2 linked regions of the Stegostoma tigrinum genome follow. The protein of the gene in region 2 interacts with the protein of the main gene of each other region in a pairwise test. Links are inferred from orthologs where the notes say so. Each region holds a gene or a part of one and is shown on either strand. Other genes may lie near its edges.

Region 1 (10,912 bases), about 290 kb from region 2:
CCCATCCTTGCCTCATCTGGCTTACGTGATGCCAGACCCACAGCGGTTGACTCTTAACCACTCTCTGGGCAATTAGGGATGGGCAATAAATGCTGGTTTAGCCAGTGATACCATCTTCCCACAAATTAATAATAAAAAATGTTTGGTAACCAGAGGGCAGAGGTTTAAGTGATGGACTAACAAAAAAATGACAGTGTGAGAAGCAAACTGCTATGATTTGGAATGCCTGAAATAGTAGCAGATTTAATAGCAACTTTGAAAGGGAAATGGATACATAATTGAAGGAAATAAATTACAGAAAAGAGCAGGGGAGTGAGACAAATTGCATCAGTCTTCCCAAAGAGTGGTCATGGTCAGATTAGAGCAAATAACCATCTGAGCTGTATCATTTTATGATGCTGCCTCTACACTTTTAAATTATTTTATTGAGTATAAAGTGATTGTGTATCACACTGTAGGAATACAAGTCAATCTTATTTGCATGTTTATATTGTGAACTTTTGCATCAAGTAATAACAAATGATTTCAAATCTTGTAACTGTTTTCTAATAACAAATAATAAATTCATTTGGCCAGAAGGTTCCTTAGCTGACAACAAACTGTTTTAAATAATTAACATGGATTTAGTCACATCTTGTTGTATTGAGTAAAATTTTCAAAGAGTTGTTGCAAAACTTCAATTCAAAAATAATTGTATTGATTCAGTATAATAAGTGATAAATTTAATCATTTCTGTCATGATTTCAGTGCATATTTAAGACAAGCAACTTTCGGGGAAATGGAGCAGAGAAACAACATAGTTTGGAGATTTTGTTGGGAGATTTTTTTCCAGATGGAGAGATTTATAGAGATATAGAGGGGTGAGGCTATTGAGAGATTTAAGTATAATGATGAGGAGTTTAAGTGGGAGGCAATTAGAGGCAGCAAGCCAATTTAAATCTGAAAGAATGGAGGTGAAGTTCACTGAGCTTTGAAACAGTCATGTCCAGTGGTGACAAGAGTACAGATGAGGGTTCCAGCAACAGGGGGGCATTTTGGAATGTCCTTTTGGAAATAAGGAAGTAGCTGAATGTAGACACAGTTCTTTCAGCTGGCACAGAACAACATTGTTGGCAGCTCCTGAAAAATCTATGGAGTAGACATTTTATCTTTGAAAGATAACAATTTGTATTTTGTCAGTTTGAAATGTACTTAAAGGCTTTAATGTTATTTTTTCACAGAAAATGACCCATCACTGTCTTGGCAATCATTTGTTGCCCATGCCTAATTGCTCACCAGAGAGTGCTGGTCACCTGCGTTCTTACATTGGCACAATCTATGCAGGATCGGTGCACCAACACTGCTTTGAAGAATGAAGCTCCAGAATTTAGACCCAGCAACAGCAAAGGAGTAGCAATAGAGTTCCAAGTGAGAGTGGTGTGTGGTTTGGAGGAGACTTTGCAAGTAGTAGTAGTTCTATCATGCATCTGCTGCCCTTGTCTTTTTTAAGTGATAGAGATCACAGGTTTGAAATATGTTTTCAAAGTAACGTTGGTTAGTGGTCGTAGTGTATTTTGTAGATGGCACATATGGCTGCCACAGTGTGTTGGTAATGGAACGATTACACGTTTAAATGAATGCGTTCAACACTTTTTATTCAATCTGACAAGTCATTCCATTTCCATATTCCCAGATAGAAATGAAATTCCAAAACCAATATCAAATTACAATGGTCTAAGTCTTCCGATTACTCTTGGACAGATCTGACCAACAATGATCCTGATTGCGCACTTACTTGGTAGTGATATTTACAATCAAACGTTTGAGTGTAACCTGTCCTGGATGCCTCCATCTCAGGAGACCCTCAAGGAATTCATTCAGTATTTGGTCTCCTGTGAAAAATAGTTTAAAGATCCCAAAGGTACTTAGATAAGTTACGAAGAGAAGGTAAGTGTGTGAGGGTTTAGGGTGGCCGGATGGCAGATAGATAGGTGAGGGAGGATAGTGTGACAGGTAAGTGTGTGAGAGCCGGAGGTAGCAGGAAAGAGGATGAGGGGATAGGATGGCTGGTAGGTGAACTAGAAGGGTGATGGGTAGATGGGCAAATGTATAGGCTGCCAGGTGAGGGAGGTAGCAGAATGGCAAGTAATTGAGTGGGGTGGTAAGTTGGCAGGTGAATGGTGAGAGAATTAGAATGGCAGATAAATGGGTGACAGAGCAGGGTGGCACATGCGTACTTGAAGGGACAGGCTAACAACAGGTAAATGAGGAAGGGAAGCAAGGTAGGTAAGTGGATAGATGGCAGGTGGGTCCGTAGGTGAGGGGCTAGAGTGGCAAATAGGAGTGAAAAAGTGGTGCTCACATTATGTGCTGTAACACTCCCATGTCCCCATTCCTGACTCCGATAATTTTTGTGAGGTGGGAGAGGAGAGTATATGAAACAGAGAGAAGTAAAATCCCAATAATGACTGGGCACTTTCTGGTAACTAAGGGGTACTTAAACAGCTCCCATTCTAAGGTGGCAACATTTTTGTTGGTGCTGCTAGCTCTTAGAAACTACATAAAACAAAACCTTGTTGGGAGCAGCGTCAACAATGTGGAATTTTAGGAAAAGTGGAAACTTTAAAGGAAATCTGTTCCACAGCAATGAAATTTTACATGAAGGTTTCCTTGTGCTGTCTAAAGTTCCAGGTATCCATATGCCTTAGCCAACAGAAGGTTCAAATGGTTTCGTTTTTTTAAAAGCTTATAAAACCAGTAAGTTGGGCCAGAATGTGACCTGCTTTTCAGCCTCTACTGTTGCTCCTCACTAAAGCCACTAATTGGCCACCACTTCTAAGCTCTCATTGATTAACGCCAACCTTCATCAAAATTGGAAGCACTGTCTCTTTCCCCTCAAGGGATGGGTTCATGACCCGGAACACCCCTGTCAAATCCCACCACATCAGACAGCATCCAGCTGGCCCTTTATTATTGTATTCCAAATCCAGGAAATACAACTTTGAAGTGAGCTGGAGGTGATGTTTATAGCTGAAATTATGTCAAAAACATGAAATCCATGCAAAAAGAAAATCAATTTTTATCACTTTGTCCCAAAATGAATTCAACAGGGACTTGTTTGGTAAACAGTACCATCTATTGCATACCAAAATAAACAGAAGAATTACTTTCCTACAAACCACCTCTTTAATCAAGCTGAGGGAAGTGAAGGGAAAAACAATAGACATTACTTACTTAAAACAATATATAGTACTGCTATCCAAAATAAATTAATCATCAATTACATGTGAGTGAATGAAGAATTAAGTACAATAATTCTCGATGGTTTGATCAAATTTCTCATCATAAGAGGTGTGTAAAGTATATACAAGAAAGCATTAGGGCTATAAGGGAAAAATAACGGTAGTATTATCTTGGAAAATAAAGGAATTAACAACAATGCTGCAGCACGTTACTGTTTTTTAAAACCTAACGATCTGACCACATAAGCCTTGTAGTAGCCGGAAATAATGTGAAAGTAAGAAATCTTCTAAAATGTAGGACAAATTTAAAAGCAAGAAGTCCTGGTTATCAACTGCTCTCCACTTAATATTCATGGCAACTACAGGCAGCATATTAATGTTTCACATCATGCAACAGAAATTGGTCCCAGGTTCTGACATAAACAAGTAATGCCAGAGCAGCGATCCATTATATCGAGTGAAACTGGTGATGAGGTTCTGCATACAAGTGGCAGCTGCTATGATAGCATTGTTTGGCACCACCACTCAAGGTGAATTTTGAGCTCTAGCCTCCTCCAGAAAGAAGTGGCCTTCATTTTCAAAATCCTCCCCAATCAGAATAACGCACTAAATGCAGCTTTTTGCAGGGAGGTAGAGGCCTAGTGGCATCACTGGACTATTAATCCAGGAAACTCAGCTGATGTTCTGGGGATCTGGCTTCAAATCCTGCTGTGGCAGATGGTGGAATTTGAATTCAATGAAGAATGTGGAATAAGGATTTAATGATGACCATGAAACCATTGTCAATTGTTGGGCGGGGAATGCCATCTGGTTCACTTAAAGCCCTGTAAGGGAGGAAATCTGTCATCCTTACCTGGTCTGCTTAACATGTGACTTCAGATTCTTACTTGCGAGATGGGCAATAAATACTGGTCCAGCCAAAGATGCCCACATTCTGTGAATAAATGCAAGAAAACACAGATTTGAGTCATTTCCCCAGATTTTGTTTGTTTTGCAAATGCCATGTCAGGAAAGGAATGAAAAGGAACTTTTCAGAATGAAGAGACATCCAGTCTACATTCACTTTCATGTATGGCATATAAGTTTTACCTTCCCACTTGGCTAACATCAAATTCAAGAAATAAAACCTGAGCCGATGAAACATGTTCCCTAACAGCTCTGAAAGGAAATACTCAATTAGCTAACTTCAATTGTTCTGTTGTGTCACCACATATGTATAGAATGATGCACTATGTCCAAACATGTGCACGTTGGCTGCCCTCAACAGCCCTAGTACAATATAATTACACATATGCTGCAATTGCAAGTGATTTTAGCGTTCAGATCATCTACCTGTGTTATTTATCTTTAGTTAATCTTCTTTGATGACACGGTTTAAAATCGATAAAGCAACAAAGACAATTGACGCAATTTCTTGGGGCCACATTAAAATATATTTTGAAATCTTTTACGTGCTCTGGAGGATTTTAACTGTGTACCTCTAGTTATATGCCTTGTGCTCTGTTTCTGGCCTTGGATAGATATGCCACAGTTTCAGTACACATTTATCATTTGTAAATAGAGAATGTAAAGTAAGTAAATTGAAGACAATCAGACCTTCTAGGCTCTATTGCCGATTACTAATTGTTTAGTTTCCATGTGCAAAAATGGATAAATTATAAGGATAAATGAGCTGAGTGCTGGCAGAAATAAAAATGACACATAATTGGCTCATCATCAGATTTTCAAGGGTTATTAGCAATGAGTAGTAAATTTTGGCCTGCTCATTTATGTTCACATGCCAAGAAAGAATTTTAAAAATTAAATGCCCTTCAACAACATGGGATACTGGCTTTTAACATTCATGCCAAGCTATTTACCTTAAGTTCTCATTTTCAATCCAACTTTCATAAAAACCATTTGCACTGGAGAAATTTATAAGATGTATTTGTTGGTGGGTTCTTAGAGGGACAATGGTAGTATCTTTACATCTGAACTAGGAGGCCTGATCCTGGGATGTGTAGGTATAGGTTGATTAGAAAATATCTATAAAAATAATTTGGCATTGTGAATACAGCTATGACCCTCCAATATAATCCAGGGACACATACATTAAAATCTAATTATTGTTCTTGTATGAGGTAATCTACTAAAATAGGAGGAATTATTCTGAACAGTCTTTTTTGACACCACTGAACCTTGCACTATATCAGAAGGAAAAAGGATTCAGCTATAGGTCTTAAGTTGCATCCATCTTTAGAATATCCAACTTTATGAAAGCCTTGAAACCATGGTTTTAGCAGGTCTGACGGGAGTGATTTTAATGAATATAGAGGGAATGGGATCAGTGTAACCAGTGTTGGACTGGATAGGAAACCATGCCACAATTCACCACTTGAGATCCAGAAGATTTTAACTCTTTTGGAATCATTTATATGTTTGCTGTCAGCTTCCAGCCTATGATCAGTTGGTAGGTGCAAGATTCCACACAATGGGAGAAATGCCAATGAACGAATCAGTTAATTCCCACCATTGCGTAACTAGTTTTGTGGGAGTTAAGAGAAAAGCATGCCCAGGTTTTGTCTTGTACCAGTCACTTCTCTGCTCAGTTGGGTCACAATGACGCCTGGTTGAATCTTATGGTTCTTGGCTAACTCCCAGTTGTGTTGAGTTTCTTTTGAGGGATTTCTGCTGCAAAGTCTAGTGAGTTATCTCACCACTTCAGTGTCCATGTACACAGATCCTTGAAAGTTGCCACCCAAGTTGACAGGGCTGTTAGGAAGGCATACAGTGTTTTAGCTTTTATTAATAGAGGGATTGAGTTCCGGAACCAAGAGGTTATGGTGAAGCTGTACAAAACTCTGGTGCGGCCGCACTTGGAGTATTACGTACAGCTCTGGTCAACGCATTATAAGAAGGATGTGGAAGCTTTGGAAAGGGTGCAGAGGAGATTTACTAGGATGTTGCCTGGTATGGAGGGAAGGTCTTACAAGGAAAGGCTGAGGGACTTGAGGCTATTTTCATTAGAAAGAAGAAGGTTGAGAGGTGACTTAATTGAAACATATAAAATAATCAGAGGGTTAGATAGGTGGATAGGGACAGCCTTTTTTCTAGGATGGTGATGGCGAGCACGAGGGGGCATAGCTTTAAATTGAGGGCTGAAAGATATAGGACAGATGTCAGAGGTAGTTTCTTTACTCAGAGAGTAGTAAGGGAATGGAACGCTTTGCCTGCAACAGTAGTAGACTCGCCAACTTTAGGTACATTTAAGCCGTCATTGGACAAGCATATGGATGTACATGGAATAGTGTAGGTTAGATGGGCTTGAGATCAGTATGCCAGATCGGCACAACATCGAGGGCCAAAGGGCCTGTACTGTGCTGTAATGTTCTATGTTCACATCTTACCAAACTCGCCGCATTACCTACCTATCCTATTCCCTACGATGTCCATCAAAGCTGATTCCACTCTCAGCTTACCACACGTGGTCCCCAGAGCAATTCAACAATCAGCAGGTGCCTATCAAAAGACTAGCATCGTTGCTGCCCGTACCATCTTTGAGAGGGCGCTGTTAACGCAGATGAAAATTGGCAATCCAGCACTGCCTCATGCTGGCAGCGTAATGGAATATCACCAAAGCCACAATGCCCACAACATATAGTTGACACTCCCTTGCATATGCAACGTTATTCTATCTTCCTTGGCACTATTTAGTCACCACATCATACACTACCTGCCCATTGTTACATCCCATTTGAACACTACAAACTTGTCAAAGAAACAAAGAAGAAACAAAGAAACCTACAGCACAGGAACAGGCCCTTCGGCCCTCCAAGCCTGCGCCGATCAAGATCCTCTGTCTAACCTGTCATCTATTTTCTAACGGTCTGTGTCCATTTGCTCCCTGCCCGTCCATGTACCTGTCCAAATATATCTTAAAAGATGCTAACGTGTCTGCGTCTACCACCTCCGCTGGCAATGCGTTCCAAGCACCCAACACCCTCTGTGTAAAGAACTTTCCATGCATATCTCCCTTAAACTTTCCTCCTCTCATTTTGAACTCATGACCCCTAGTAATTGAGTCCCTCAATCTGGAAAAAGCTTTTTGCTATCCACCCTGTCTATACCCCTCATGATTTTGTAGACCTCAATCAGGTCCCCCCTCAATCTCCATCTTTCTAATGAAAATAATCCTAATCTATTCAACCGCTCTTCATAGCTAGCACCCTCCATACCAGGCAACATCCTGGTGAACCTCCTCTGCACCCTCTCCAAAGCATCCACATCCTTTTGGTAATGTGGCGACCAGAACTGTACACAGTACTCCAAATGTGGCCGAACCAAAGTCCTATACAACTGCAACATGACCTGCCAACTCTTGTACTCAATACCCCGCCCAATTCCAGGAGAGGAGTATCACATACAAGGAAGCAATTGGACAATTCCAAACATAACTGTTTATTTACTGATGGAAAAAAACAAGTGTAAATGAAACCAATAGAAGCTGAGGATTTCCTTAACAATGCATACCTGATTTAGGTATCATAGCCAATAAATATTTCACAATCCATAATTATGTGCCATACCAGTGGGTATAATTGTGGTTAGATTGGCAAAATTGTTAGATTCTATTGGAACCAAGTAAGGTCTTGTCCAGCTTATGGCACCCAAAGCAGCTGATCTCTTTCAAGGGAAATGTCAGCTTCCTCCTCCTCATTGCCCTTGTCCTGCTCAGAAGACAGATCCCCCATCAGGTCTGACAACATCTGTGGGGAGAAAGCTGAGCTAATGTTTCAAGTCCAGACATTCTTCAACAGAATGGAGTTCCAGGTCTCCAGAATCTGCAGTTTTTTTTTGTTTTGTTTTATTTTGGTGAAGGTGGCATATGCTGAAGGCCAAAAATTGTCATTGAGGGAAGATCTTGCATGCCCCAAAACATTTTCTATTCTCGACCGACATCAAATGCTCATCTCCTTACAGTGTTTAGTACAAACCATTGTTATATGTGCATGACAAATGATGAAGCAATGGGTGTTGGATGAATATTGGTTCCCCTTCATCCAGCAATTGGCCTTTTGTAACATCCTTACTTTTAAGTTTGACATCATTGAAATGCCCACGTTCAAGCAGCAAGCACCAGGCCCCCAACTGATGGACAGGACCAGATTAAATCTTGGGTTGCTCCCTTGCTCTCTTAGCACTCATTCTCTCAGCATCTATCTGCATGTTCTCAGCATCGTTGCCTTGCATTGCTATGCCATTTCTGATATCACATTGGTGCTTCACTAGGAGCCCGATGCTATCAGGGTTGAGGAAACCATATGGACTATAACAAGTCAAGAAAAGGTTGACAGTTCTGTTTCAAAGGTGGCTGGGGATAGATAATAAGTCAACACTAACCAGTGATGGCCATGTCTTAAGAATGAATTTGATTAAAAATCTCGTGCTGTAATTTAACTGCCTGCTTTCCACCAGCTGGGATTCTCTCTGCATGTGAAGATTCGTTCCTATCACTAAAAAACATCTCTTGATTTTCAAAATTCAAGTGAAGGATGTGGGTGTCCAGACAGTCTAACCATTATTATACTCATTGTATCTCTCTCCTCAAATGCTGCCTGATCTGTTGAGTTTCTCCAGCATATTGTTTTAGTTTGGATCTGCAACATCCACAGTTTTTGCTTTAATTTTAAGGGAGCACAATGTTTAAGGGCTCAGATTCAGCTCTTTTTATTCACAACACAGCGCACCACATCTTTATTCATTAATGGAAACACGGCATTGCAGGTTAGGCAGTATTTATTGTCCATCCCTAATTGCCCAGAGGGCAGTTAAGAGGCAACCACATTGCTGTGGGTCTGGAATCGCATGGAGGCCAGACCAGGTAAGGATAGCAGTTTCCTTCCCTAAAGGACATTAGTGAGCCAGATTTGTTTTTCCAGCAACCTGCAACAGATTCATGGGCATCATTAGATTCTTAATTGCAGATTTTTTTTGGATTCAAATTCCACCATCTGCTATGGCAGGATTCAAACCCAGGTCTCCAGAATGTTATCTCGGCCAGTGGATTAACAGTCCAGCGATAATACCACTTGGCAATTGCCTCCCCATGTGTATTAGGAGAAGGTAAAAAGTATAGAAACTGACATCATACTGAAATAATTTCCCATTCACTCGTATCAATCCTTCACCTAAATGCTTTACACATTGCTAATGCCTGCGTTTTTTGATCAACATCTTGCTTTGTAACAGAAAGATTAAAATGTGTAACTCTAGAATACATTAATCAATGGAATACATCAGAATCCTTTGGTCAATAATGTCCACTAAGAGTAAAATGGGATGATTCTCTACATGTAACTCAACTATGATTTAGCATCAGGTAAAAAAACTATCATTAACACATACTGTTCATCTATTTCTCATCATAGAATCCCTACAGTGCAGAAAGCAGCCATCTGGCCTATCAAGTCTGCACCAGCCCTCTGAAGAGTACCCACCCTGAGCCACTCCCATCCCTGTATCCCCACATCTACCATGGCTAACCTTCCAAGCCTCCACATCGCTGGACAGTGCAGGGCAATTTAGCATTGCAATCCACTTAGCCTGTACATCTTTGGACTGTGGGAGGAAACCAGAGCACTTGGTAGAAACCCACACAGACACAGGAAGAATGTGCAAACACCACACACAGTCACCCAAAGCTGGAATTGACCCTAGGTCCTTGTGCTGTAAGGTAGCAGTGCGAACCACTGAACCACCATGCCACCCCGTACTTCTGTACGTCATTAGCATTCTCTTTGCTTTGAGATCCAGCCACATTTCTGATTTGTTTCATATTAACGTTCTTTTCAACATTGAAACAATTTAATCTAAGTAAAGTCTTAAAACTATAATATGGTTTTCAGAAGCATGCTTCAAAATGTATGGCGCTAATCTAAAAATTCAATTCTGTCTTAAACATTACTTATAATAAATGTACAAATATTTCCATGCACTTGAGTTTTGAAACTTGCATTGAAATTAGTTTCCTAAGTGATGGAGAGAGAGAGAGAGATCATATTTCTCAGGACCATACAGAACAGTTTGGTAACTTGCAGAAGTGAATGATGGTCAACAATCATTGTTCATATCAGTGATTCAGTACAGATCCCCACACAGCCAGACTGTTACTAATTAGCAAATGACAGAACAAGCAATGCCTTTCAGTGCCTCAGGGCAGTCTTGATTCAAGAAAATCCTCCAAGGGAAACCTCATGACGGAGGAGAAACACCCCTCATATATTTTGAAGATTGGTAATTTCCTGGCCCTGCGTTCCACTCTTCGCTCTGCAAATTCTAAAGGAAATTTCATTGATGCCATTAATACTTAGCAAAATTAACTGCAGCTGAATATTTTGTGGATCAGCAAGGTCATTTCACAAGCGTTGTCTCTAAAAACCCCAAACACATCTGGGAGTGACCTTGTACAGCTACAAATATTTGAAGAATTTGATTGCTTATTTTATGATTTCACAGAAGAGCAGCAAAGAATATTCCAGAACGGAAGAGATTTGTAAAACATAAGCTAAGTTTGTAAAATGTTGTGGATCATGGATCATTCAAATTCGTGCAATTTAAATGGTACATTTTTGGGAAAGTTGACTTATTGGAACAATTTCCTCATTATATTTATTAACCCAATTAGACATAAGAATGGAATGGTACTCAAATTT
Region 2 (11,216 bases):
CATGGCCGATCCACCTAACCTGCAGATTTTTGGACTGTGGGAGGAAACTGGAGCACCCAGAAGAAACCCACGCAGACACAGGGAGAATGTGCAAACTCCACACAGACAGTTACCAGAGGCTGGAATTGTACACAGGTCACTGGCGCTGTGTGAGGCTGCAGTGCTAACCACTGAGCCACCGTGCCGTCCTTATTGCCAGACTAATTTTCACTACAGCTTCTATATACTAGGAGATTAAAATTACTTAACTCATAGTTAAACAGTCAAATCCAAAGGAGTTGCTGTGTATTTATCAAGTCCAGTTCCTTCACAGCTCAGTTAATCACCGGTTTAAATAGTACAGTTAAAACAAGAGATGGAAAGTTTAAATAACCTCAATACAAATGAGGACTCCATTCGATATGGAGCAAGCAATGCACAATAACAGATTTATTGTTTGGCATGCAACTTCAATGAGTTTAAAAATCTATTGACCATTTTCTTCATGTTCCTCTTCTGCATGGGGACCAGTTTCATGAATTAAAAGTTTAGATCAGTTAATATTTTAAAATAGGATGTTAAAGCAGTATTATAAAATACATGTACAGTCACACAAACTGAGGAGTTAAACAATGTCCAGTGGAGGAAACAGGTTTAAGACATTTAAGTACAAATAGACTTATAAGCAGAAATTTTGCTCTTAGGCTCATAATACCTGCATTCATCATTCTATATAAATGTTAAATGATGCAAACCAACATAAAATATTTATACAATTCATAAATAAATTACAGAACTTTGCAGTCTTTGAAATCTTTGATCAATTGAATTCATGTATGACAGAGTCTCTCCTGACTGCACAGTTCAAAATACCTGCCTTCATGATTTTGGTGCTGATGCACCCCCTGTTGAATTGAAACTGCTACAAAACAACTCATCCTCAACCCCACAAACAAAGACATTATTTCCCCAGACTACAGAATTAATCATAATAATTTTTTATTATTATTTAAAGAAACAATATTGTATAAATAAGATCAAAATGGCAGTTATATGATAGTTCAATGTTATAAATGGTCGCTCAATGTTATAAATGCATATAGGATTAGTATGGAATGTATAACTTTAGATTAATGACCTATGGATCTAATAATAAAGTGTTAAGATTTAGAGAAAAAAAATCCACCTTTTCATCATGATGATTCATTTATTTCCTTCAGGCAGGAACTGTTGAGATCTTGGGTAGAGTATTTGTGGATTGGAAGGCAGGATGATAAAATTTAATGATTGTAAAATGATCAGGGGTGGCAGGAATATTGCATGGTCCCTTTAAAAGCTTTTTTAAGGTTTTCAGATTTAAAAGAGCCTGCAGGCAGCAGCACACAGAGCATTCATGAAATTGAAACATTGTACCAAAAGGCTGTGCTGTCCGTAGGCAAAGCAGCATTTTTGCTGAAACAAGATAATAAAATGTGAGGCTGCATGAACAGAGCAGGCCCAGCAGCATCTCAGGAGCACAAAAGCTGACGTTTCGGGCCTAGACCCTTCATCAGAGAGGGGGATGATTTGAGGGTTCTGGAATAAATAGGGAGAGAGGGGGAGGTGGACCGAAGATGGAGATAAAAGAAGATAGGTGGAGAGGAGAGTATAGGTGGGGAGGTCAATCCAGGGAAGACGGACAGGTCAAGGAGGTGGGATGAGGTTGGTAGGTAGGAGATGGAAGTGCGGCTTGGGGTGGGAGGAAGGGATGGGTGAGAGGAAGAACAGGTTAGGGAGGCAGAGACAGGCTGGGCTGGTTTTGGGATGCAATTGGGGGAAGAGAAGAGCTGGGCTGGTTGTGTGGTGCAGTCGGGGGAGGGGACGAACTGGGCTAGTTTTGGGATGCGGTGGGGGAAGGGGAGATTTTGAAGCTGGTGAAGTCCACATTGATACCATTGGGCTGCAGGGTGCCCAAGCTGAATATGAGTTGCTGTTCCTGCAACCTTCGGGTTGGTTCCGCTCGGTTCGCAATAAACAACTGCACCTCCCAGTTGCAAACCATTTCCACTCCCCCTCCCATTCTTTAGATGACATGTCCATCATGGGCCTCCTGCAATGCCACAATGATGCCACCCAAAGGTTGCAGGAACAGCAACTCATATTCCACCTGGGAACCCTGCAGCCTAATGGTATCAATGTGGACTTCACCAGCTTCAAAATCTCCCCTTCCCCCACCGCATCCCAAAACCAGCCCAGTTCGTCCCCTCCCCCCACTGCACCACACAACCAGCCCAGCTCTTCCCCTCCACCCACTGCATCCCAAAACCAGTCCAACCTGTCTCTGCCTCCCTAACCTGTTCTTCCTCTCACCCATCCCTTCCTCCCACTCCAAGCCGCACCTCCATCTCCTACCTACTAACGTCATTCCACCTCCTTGACCTGTCTGTCTTCCCTGGACTGACCTATCCCCTCCCTACCTCCCCACCTATACTCTCTCCAACTATCTTCTTTTCTCTCCATCTTCGGTCCGCCTCCCCCTCTCTCCCTATTTATTCCAGAACCCTCACCCCATCCCCCTCTCTGATGAAGGGTCTAGGAGAAACAACAGATTTTTGAATTTAGCCAATGCACTTAAACCAGGCCAGAGTTACCAAAACTCAACCAAATTTTAATCTCAGAGATAATGGGAACTGCAGATGCTGGAGATTCCAAGATAATAAAATGTGAGGCTGGATGAACACAGCAGGCCAAGCAGCATCTCAGGAGCACAAAAGCTGACGTTTCGGGCCTAGACCCTTTTGACAACCGAGTACCAATCCTAGTAGCCCAGCCTATTCAGCCTCTCCCATTAGATCAAACCCTTGAACCCTGGCTACATCCTTGCAAATTTGTCAATGAAAGTAGGGAAGGTCTCGTTGGATGGGAATTAAACAAACATGGACTAAATAATCTGAGTTGTTATACAAGGAATAAACTGGAAGGTTGCCTTTATGAAATAACTGCCTGAATAACTTCCTTGATTTTATTTCTCTAGGAACTGACATTCAAGTGCATCTTAGGAAGTCTTATTATGTACATATCTTACATATCTTGATTTTCAGAAGGTGGCTCATGTCAGATGTGGAAAAGCTAATTAATCTGTTACCTGTTGTCAAATGCAATCTAAATTGATCAAACTTGTGAATAATAAATGAGCCAGAACAGTAGAATGTGATAAAATAACCAAGAAGTTAACATGGACAAAATCTTTCTAAATAGTCAAACTGTGCGAGATTAACTTTAATACAGAAATGGCACAACACTCATCGCTGTAAGAAACGATTGGAAAAATTCTCAAATGATTGAAGCTAGACTAGTTAGTCGGGGACACAATAAGCTCTGGCAATGATAGTGCTATGAGAGCTATGCTAATTTTTTTTACTGTATCGTTTGGTTTGGTGCTTTGGATTGTGAGCTGGGGGTTGGCGGTGATGTTTGAACTGTGAGCAACAGCTTGATTTGTTTTGGAAGGGCAGGAAAACTGATATTTGTTTATGAGGTCAGGTCTCGCAGATAATTACAGGTTGATTCTTGTTCCAAGTATGTTATAGACATTGAACTTTATAGACATTTAACTCCAGAGAGGCATTATACTCAAACAAATGACAGGTGTTGAATGTTAAATAGCCTTACAGAAAGGCTGGTACGAAGAGAATGTCGGGAAAAAAAGAAAGGGAAACCAAAGTTTGCACTGGTTTTGAACAGAGGTTTTTTTTAAACCAGATGATTGTGGCCATCTAACCTATAGCGGGAATTATTGATTGCTCCCTGATTATCCTTCTGTATTCAACTTATTGAAAGTTCAGAGAATAGAACCTCAGTTATAGGAGTTAAGCAAATATTCCTCAGAGTCTAGTGGAAGCTGTTTACATTAACTGGTGTCTTCATAAAACCAAACAAGATGCAATCCCATGTGCTTGTGATATTATTGATCATAGATACTGCTTAAGTGAGATGGCCAGTTACATCTCATTTATTCTCCTATTGATTAATCCCTTAACTGTGTCTGTTTGTCAGTCAATCTTTCTGTGAATACAGTCTAGAACCGAAGAAGATTGCGTTTAAATTATAGCCATTAATTAGAATACCTTGTTCTTTCACTGTTCTCTGCTAAAACTATATATTAGTAATAAATTGATAATTCTTTTGTTTAGGCTATAAACCTGGTGTGTAGTATCAGTTATTCACTCAGGTTATTTAAAAAAAAAAGTCTTGTTAAGAGCCATTGGGCTAATTTTGAGGGTCTTTGTGTATTTCATTTTTCTGTTGCAAATACACAGATAGGGAGGCAGATTTTGATTTGGCTCACTGCCTCTGCGTCATAACAGTAGTAATCTTGACATGAACCATATCTTGGCATAATCGATAAAAGCAGCACAATTCAGAACTATATGTCAAACTAATAGAAGCAGTTAAGCCGAAAAAATAAGTGTGTTCTGTTCAGGCTGCATCAGCATTCAACTCAGGGGATTACAACTTGTCCTGTAGCCAGTGCAAAATAAAGGACTACATTACAGAATCCAGAGGACTTCGTTCTGAGAAAAAAAAATGAAAAAGGCTTCCATTCATTCAACTTTAAAAGACAAATATTAGGCTTCCTTATAGATATATACGTTACAAGGTGAAACAGAAAAGGTTAACTTAATGCAATTCAGTATTTCATGTTAAATGATGAATGCAAAGCACAGACAACTTCAAAAACTGATTTAAAAATATATAAGACCAATGTCAGAATTTATTGATTTTCAAAGAATGGTTAACACCAGGGATGGAATTTTAAGTCGGGGAAGTAAAAATTACACAGTTAAAGCATGAGACTGATAAATGTTGTGTTAAAGATATCTTTGCTTTATGAAAATTGACTTGGATGATTAAATTGTCTCTCTCTTTTCTATTTTTCTTCACTAAATTACCAAGAAAAACATGAAATAATCTGAAGTGGAAAAATAACGTACATACCTTCGACTTCTTCTTCTGTTATAACAGGCAAATGGAATACAAGGAAACATATTTATTACAGGTAACTAGAGCATTCCTTTTGAAAAATGTGGAAGTGAAGTATTTTCATTTTCAGCTTCTTACCTTCTTGTTCCCTGAAATATAACAATAACCTTTTAAAAATCTCCTCAAATAGTCTGCAAGTTGGCTGAGCAGTGACTGAACTGTGTGAAACAGAGAAGCCCTAGATTCACCACCTAACTTATGTTAAATTACAGCTGTGATACTAACATAAACTGAAATTGACCTTAGGCCCTTTGGGTTAGGGAGAGAAAAGTTAGACCAGGAGTGCTAATCATGAGAATTTTCACCAATAACATTGCACATCTGTAGTAGTTAAGAGATGGTAGATTTGCACTTCATTATGACACTTTCACCAACATTATAGCTACTGAAATAGGAGGTCAAGGCTCTCTCATGTAAAATGGCTTTTTGGGTGAGGTACTGGGTAAAAAGTCAGTGACTCCAAGAAGGGAATGCTTTGGAATGAATTTGGTATGAAAATATCACAAATAGTACACTGAACAATTGAAAACATTTAAGCAATGAGAAGTCAAAGACAAAGGTAACAGAATAAAAGATTATAATTGTAACAACTGAGAATTATACTTACTCAATTTCCTCCACACAGTCTTCCGTGTCTGACATATTTAAAGATAATTTCTTGTGGCTGAAAAGATAACAGTCATAATGAATTTCTGCCACATTGCTTCAGAAATGAAAACAAGCTAATGTGTACATACTACCAAATGAAAGAGTTTGCAGAAGGATGTTCATGCAAACATAAAGATGCAGATTTTACAAAATTCCAAATGGGTTAAATTGACTACTGCTGCAATTCCTTTTGGAGATCAGTATAACATGCTGAGGTTCAGATCTTTTTGATAGGAAACTATTTGCCTTTGTTGAAAAGAAACAAAACACAACTGGGAAGAATTTCCCAGGGACATGGTTTGGGGAGTCAGTGAAATTGTATTTCAATTGCATGGTTGAGGCAGGTGAAAACCTCAATGCAGATGTCTGCGACTAGAAACTTCAATGTCTGCCATTTGACCTTGGCCTTGGTCCTCATCGGCACTCTATGTAGGAGTTCCACTTAGTTTTTTTTTTAACAAAGCTAGTTGTCATTTTTCAGGAGAACACCACTGGTCTAGACCCTGCCATTGGGACATACATCTAACTATTCAGTCAAGTAACCCTCTTGGGTACATTGAGTCTTGAGCAAGCAATGGTGACAGAGACTCTCAGTAAATGATCCTCCATCAGTTTCCTTCCCAAGGTGTTCCTGCCTTAAAAGGCCAGTCAAAGGATTCTGGAAACCACAAAGTTATATAACCATGTCACTAATATTTGCTTGAGGTAGACAGAAGTTCACTATTATCCTGCCAGAAGATCAGCAGAACTGAGGAGTCTGGCTCTAAAATAACAGATGACTCATATGGATGTTTATTCACAATGCTTTCTAGTTTCAACCAATTGACCAATTTTGGAAAGCTATAAAATATTAAATATTTTGATTCTGATTTAAGTCAGGCTCTGGTTTGTAGTACCTATTGCTATAATCAATATGATATTGCATGTGTTCCATATTTTCCTGGCATTGAAAATGCTCATGTTAGCAAAACTATAATAAATTTAAAGGGATGAAAATTGTAAGTGGTTGATTATGGAGATAAGGCTAATTGGCAACATATAGAAAGAGAATTAACACTAATTCCTATTTAAGGATCTGTAATTGGATTGAAATTTTGGCTGACATAAACCCAGTTGTGGAGTCCCTTTGTGGTATCTTCTCTGGGTGTGTTTTTTGATGGGTGGGCACATAATGTAGAATTGGTGCCCAGCTGTGTAACATCCCATCCATCCATAGGCTCACTCCCACAATACAGCGGTTAGGGAGTCAAATCAGGCAGTCTGTTTATCATATGTGAATAAATATGAGTCAATTGAACTTGTTAAAAAGCTTAATTGATCCTCATAATACGCTGCCCATGCCAAAATATGGTTTGTGGGAGCACTGGACACAATTGGGCAAGCCTTCTTTGTAAGAATTTTAATAATTGGTGGGAAGAAAGTGGGAATACTATGTTCAGGGTATGCTCTTTGCAAATCAGGGACATCCTTTCTGAATGTTGTACCGCTCCTTCCTTCCCTCAAATAAGTTCCAAAAACTACACTCCATTAAGCCTGCTTCTACAGCTCATCAAGCTTTGTTAGCTCCCTTCGCCAAACAATACCTTAGACTTGTCTCTCTCCAGGATAGACACTGTCTTCTCTGAAGGTAGGCCTTCCTGCAGTTCTAGCAGCACCACCACTGTGGTCATGGTGTTGCTGGAGCTGCTACTCAACCAAATCAGCCAGAAGCTCTTGAGGAGATGTGGCAAAGAATGCAACTAAGTGAATTGCACATTCCAAGGGCCAGTGCATACATGGCAGGCTGAATGGCCTCTTTCAGATCTGTAAAAATTGTGTGATTCTATGATTCTGTACATTCAAACAGCCTATCCAAGAATGAATATTCTTAAAGAATAAAATTCACAATGGAAAAATCCAGAAGTACAAATTTATTGACTTTAATTCTGTCATGTATTTTTGGGTAGCTAAGTGTTCAAAGCGCTGAAACATTTAATTCTTTTGAACTAATCAATATAAATACGTTTGTTTAATGTTTAAATATTTTTATACTGAAGGAAAAGAATTATAAAGGTCCAATGTAAAAATCTTTTCCAAAGTAAAAGTTTAAATTTTTTCTAGAGCACTTCACACTACAAAGGAATTTTTAAATGCATATTTATGTCAGTACTGCATTTAAAGGTAACCATTGCTGTTGGAGGTCATTGAGCAGTGATGCCTGCTTTCAAGTGGCCTACTTACCACTCTACATAACTGAAATAATTGCAATTCTTTGACCTTTTAAAGAGAAATGTTTTATGAAGAATTTTATCTTTTCAGATAAGAAAGGCCAGTAATAGGGTGTAATCTCATTCATTAAAGCCTTAACCACAAAAGCAATTAAAATACATTTCAGTGTTCAAGGGTGAGAAAACTTAGTAAAATATGGTCTTTTGTTCATGAATTTCAATATTGTTGGATCTGATTCTCAAAATCATATTTAAATGTCATATATGCCTGTGATTTCCCTTGTCAGTATATTATGGTGAAAATACACATACTGAATGTTAGTAGGGTTTAATTATCCTGTATCTATAATGCAAGCATCTGGTAGCCAAAATCCTAAATGTCAGCAGCTTTGATCTTTGAGTTGTGAGACCAGTAACACAATAACATTTACACTAAGTTCAGCGCTAAGTATAGCTTTGATTAATGTCAGTATGTACAGATTTAATCATCCTAGTCACCAAAAGGCTTCTAATTGTAGAGCTATTTGCAAATCGCACAAAAAAGAACAAAATAAAGATGTCGCCTACTTTGTTAAAAATGTCACTTGAATATTCCACAAAAAATAATTTCAAATCATAACCAAATAAGATCACATCATATTGTAATTAAGTAATTTGGGAAAGAAATGAAAATTCTTACCGAGAAGAAAGGAGCACAAATAGCACCACAGCTGACTTGTAAATATCTGAGAGTTTACTTCGGAATTTTGTGCTTAAAATCCAGTCCAGCCCTAAGACCAGAGTATTTGCTGATTGGTGAGACAGGGTTGAAGTGTGACATATTCTATTTTAGAAAGATGTTGGTTTCCCTGTTCTGAACAGAAGCACCACTCACTAATCCATAAAAGACCATCGCTTTGTCATGGCCCATGAGTCTTACTATTCTTAGATGTCAGTATGATGTGTCACTGGAAATGCACAAATGTGTTTTGGGGGATGGAGAGGGGTTGGAAACATAATAATACAGGAGGCAAGTAACAGCAAAATATATGATTAAAATAACAAGCTCAACAATGGTTAATTTTTAACTTTATCACCAGAAGAGGGAGGAATCCAACCTATCTTTACAGCTGTGCAAGTCAATTTTTATGCTGAGATATCTGATTTCAGAAACAAATAACAATTGTTCCTATGGAGAAAAAAGTGTTTGAAGCATTGGCTAATTTTGCCATTTCATGGAGATTCTTGTGAAATCTTCAAAAACTAGTGAATCAGATTACAATCCTTTATTCCATCTTGTATTATGTCCTGTATAACTTTATAATGTGCAATTCTCATTTTTTTTTCTCCTTCCTGATTCCATAACAATATCCTGTAGACAACAAATTGCTTTATTGCTTATTGGTTTGAGCTGCAGTGAACCAATTAAAAACCAATGAAGTCTTTGAATCAAAGATAAAAGTACTGGATACATTTTATAAAAAAAATCAATTATGTCACATAAATTATCTACTTTATCGAATAGTATCAGTTAAGTTGAATTTTGTGTAATTATCCCTATAATAACAATTGCGAACATTTAGAATAGTGATCTGGCTGTACCAAGAATCAGTCTGTGTTTAATCAAACAAACCTTAATGAGCTTCAATTTAAACAGGAACTATCCTCACTTTTGTAAAGTTATTCAAAAGTGTCTTTGTTCATAAATATAATTTTAAATGACTGCATAATTAACATTTCAATTTGTAGAATAAAGCTAAATTTAGTTTGGAGCGAAATGTGGAATGATTATTCGGGAAGTGTATTTACGTTTACAATCCACTAGATTTGTGATGAGAACACTCCTTCCTTCTAAACCCTAAGGTCCTAAAAGTTATCAAACCAAAAAGAAAAGACTTTTAGTGATGTGTAAATGGCACCAGCTCAGATTTACCTTTTTTTTAAGAAAAGAAACAAAATCCAGATTAAATTTTCAAATACTGATTGCTTAGCATAACGTTTTAAGTCAATTGGCTAGTAGCAAAACATACCGCAAGAGACTGTAAACACTTAGTATCTTGGTTACTTTCTGGAGGCTGGAAATGAGCATTGAGAAATTATACATCAACGTGGAATTAGAGCTAGTCTAGCCGCTATTTTCCAATTTTAAACAGCTAAGGTCCAATTCCTAAAAGATACTTTTACAATGAGGATCCATCTTTACTACAGCAATAACTGTGGTAGTATATTAGTGAAAAAAAGAAAGGCAAGTATATTCACTCTACACTATTTTGATCATTTTTCAATCACGACATACAGACATGTTGTGGTAAAGTTCCTTCTAAGCTGCTTGGCCAGATCACGAGAATTTACATGAGCTTTCAAGTTACTGTCTTTAATATATCATGCATGCACAGATGTGCAAAATTAAAAAAAATTGCTTTTAAACAAATTGTACATACCAGAAACTCTTTAGAGAGTATGTTGCAGGCCACTTATTGATTTCTTTGCTTTGCATTCAATAACTTCAAGCAGTCAACTAATAGAGACCATATGTCAAACCCTTGTGAAGTCGATATGCACAATACAGGAAAGTTAAAATAAACCTCCAACAGACCAAACTTTGAAATGAATTGATTATAAAAAGAAGTTAACAATTCGAACAATAAGCTTTTTAATTGTGCTATGAACAAGCAGCTATCACAAAATACAATTTCCTGCTTCTGGGATTTGAATGAGGCAAACAGACACCTTATAATAAACTGGTTTTCTTGTAGAAGTAAATTACTGCATAACTAAAATTTCAATTTGTAGGATAAAGCTAAATTTAGTTTGAAGAGAAATGTGGAATGATTACTGGGGAAATGTTGGAATTCTCTGCGAGTAGTCATTGTGAAGAAGAGAGAACAGCTGTCCCTATTTTTGGAAGCATCTCCCGTTCTTTCTGTTATCACCTTTCAAAACAACTTAATAATGTCCTTTCACAAAGCTAAAGCAGGTTTTGCTAATTTAGGAGAGGAAGGAATGGATCGTGTATCAAATCACATTCACTGAATCAAAGCCAACCATTAGTCCCAGAGCCACAAAAGATAAGAATTTGAATGGATCTCAACACTAAATTAAGACTAGAAGGGTCTCGACCCAAAACATAGCTTTCCTGCTTCTCTGATGCTGCTTGGCCTGCTGTGTTCATCCAGCTCTACACCTTGTTATCTTATATTCTATGTAACTTTGTTTTTTCTCCTGTCAAGTGAGGCATGGCAGCAGTATGAAGTAGAACTATTTACATCTCAAAGTGAATACAGTGTTTTCTCAGCACAGATAGCATGGAGTTTAAAATACCCTCAAATTAGCCTCTGTAATCTTCCAAAAAACCTAACTGTTAAAGAATATCACTAACAA

Evidence for each region.
Region 1: the proteins of troponin T, cardiac muscle (region 2) and troponin I, slow skeletal muscle interact in binary tests that used the Homo sapiens proteins (3 or more experiments, as listed by UniProt). The link is inferred for Stegostoma tigrinum from reciprocal best matches to the Homo sapiens genes TNNT2 and TNNI1.

What each region holds. Positions count from the first base shown.
Region 1 is NC_081374.1:32,237,570-32,248,481, forward strand, and holds the start of troponin I, slow skeletal muscle, read right to left. Parts: upstream 4,156-10,912; 5' UTR 4,155-4,155; coding exon 4,075-4,154; intron 1-4,074. UniProt on the Homo sapiens protein: Troponin I is the inhibitory subunit of troponin, the thin filament regulatory complex which confers calcium-sensitivity to striated muscle actomyosin ATPase activity.
Region 2 is NC_081374.1:31,949,827-31,961,042, forward strand, and holds the start of troponin T, cardiac muscle, read right to left. Parts: upstream 4,984-11,216; 5' UTR 4,957-4,983; intron 1-4,956. UniProt on the Homo sapiens protein: Troponin T is the tropomyosin-binding subunit of troponin, the thin filament regulatory complex which confers calcium-sensitivity to striated muscle actomyosin ATPase activity.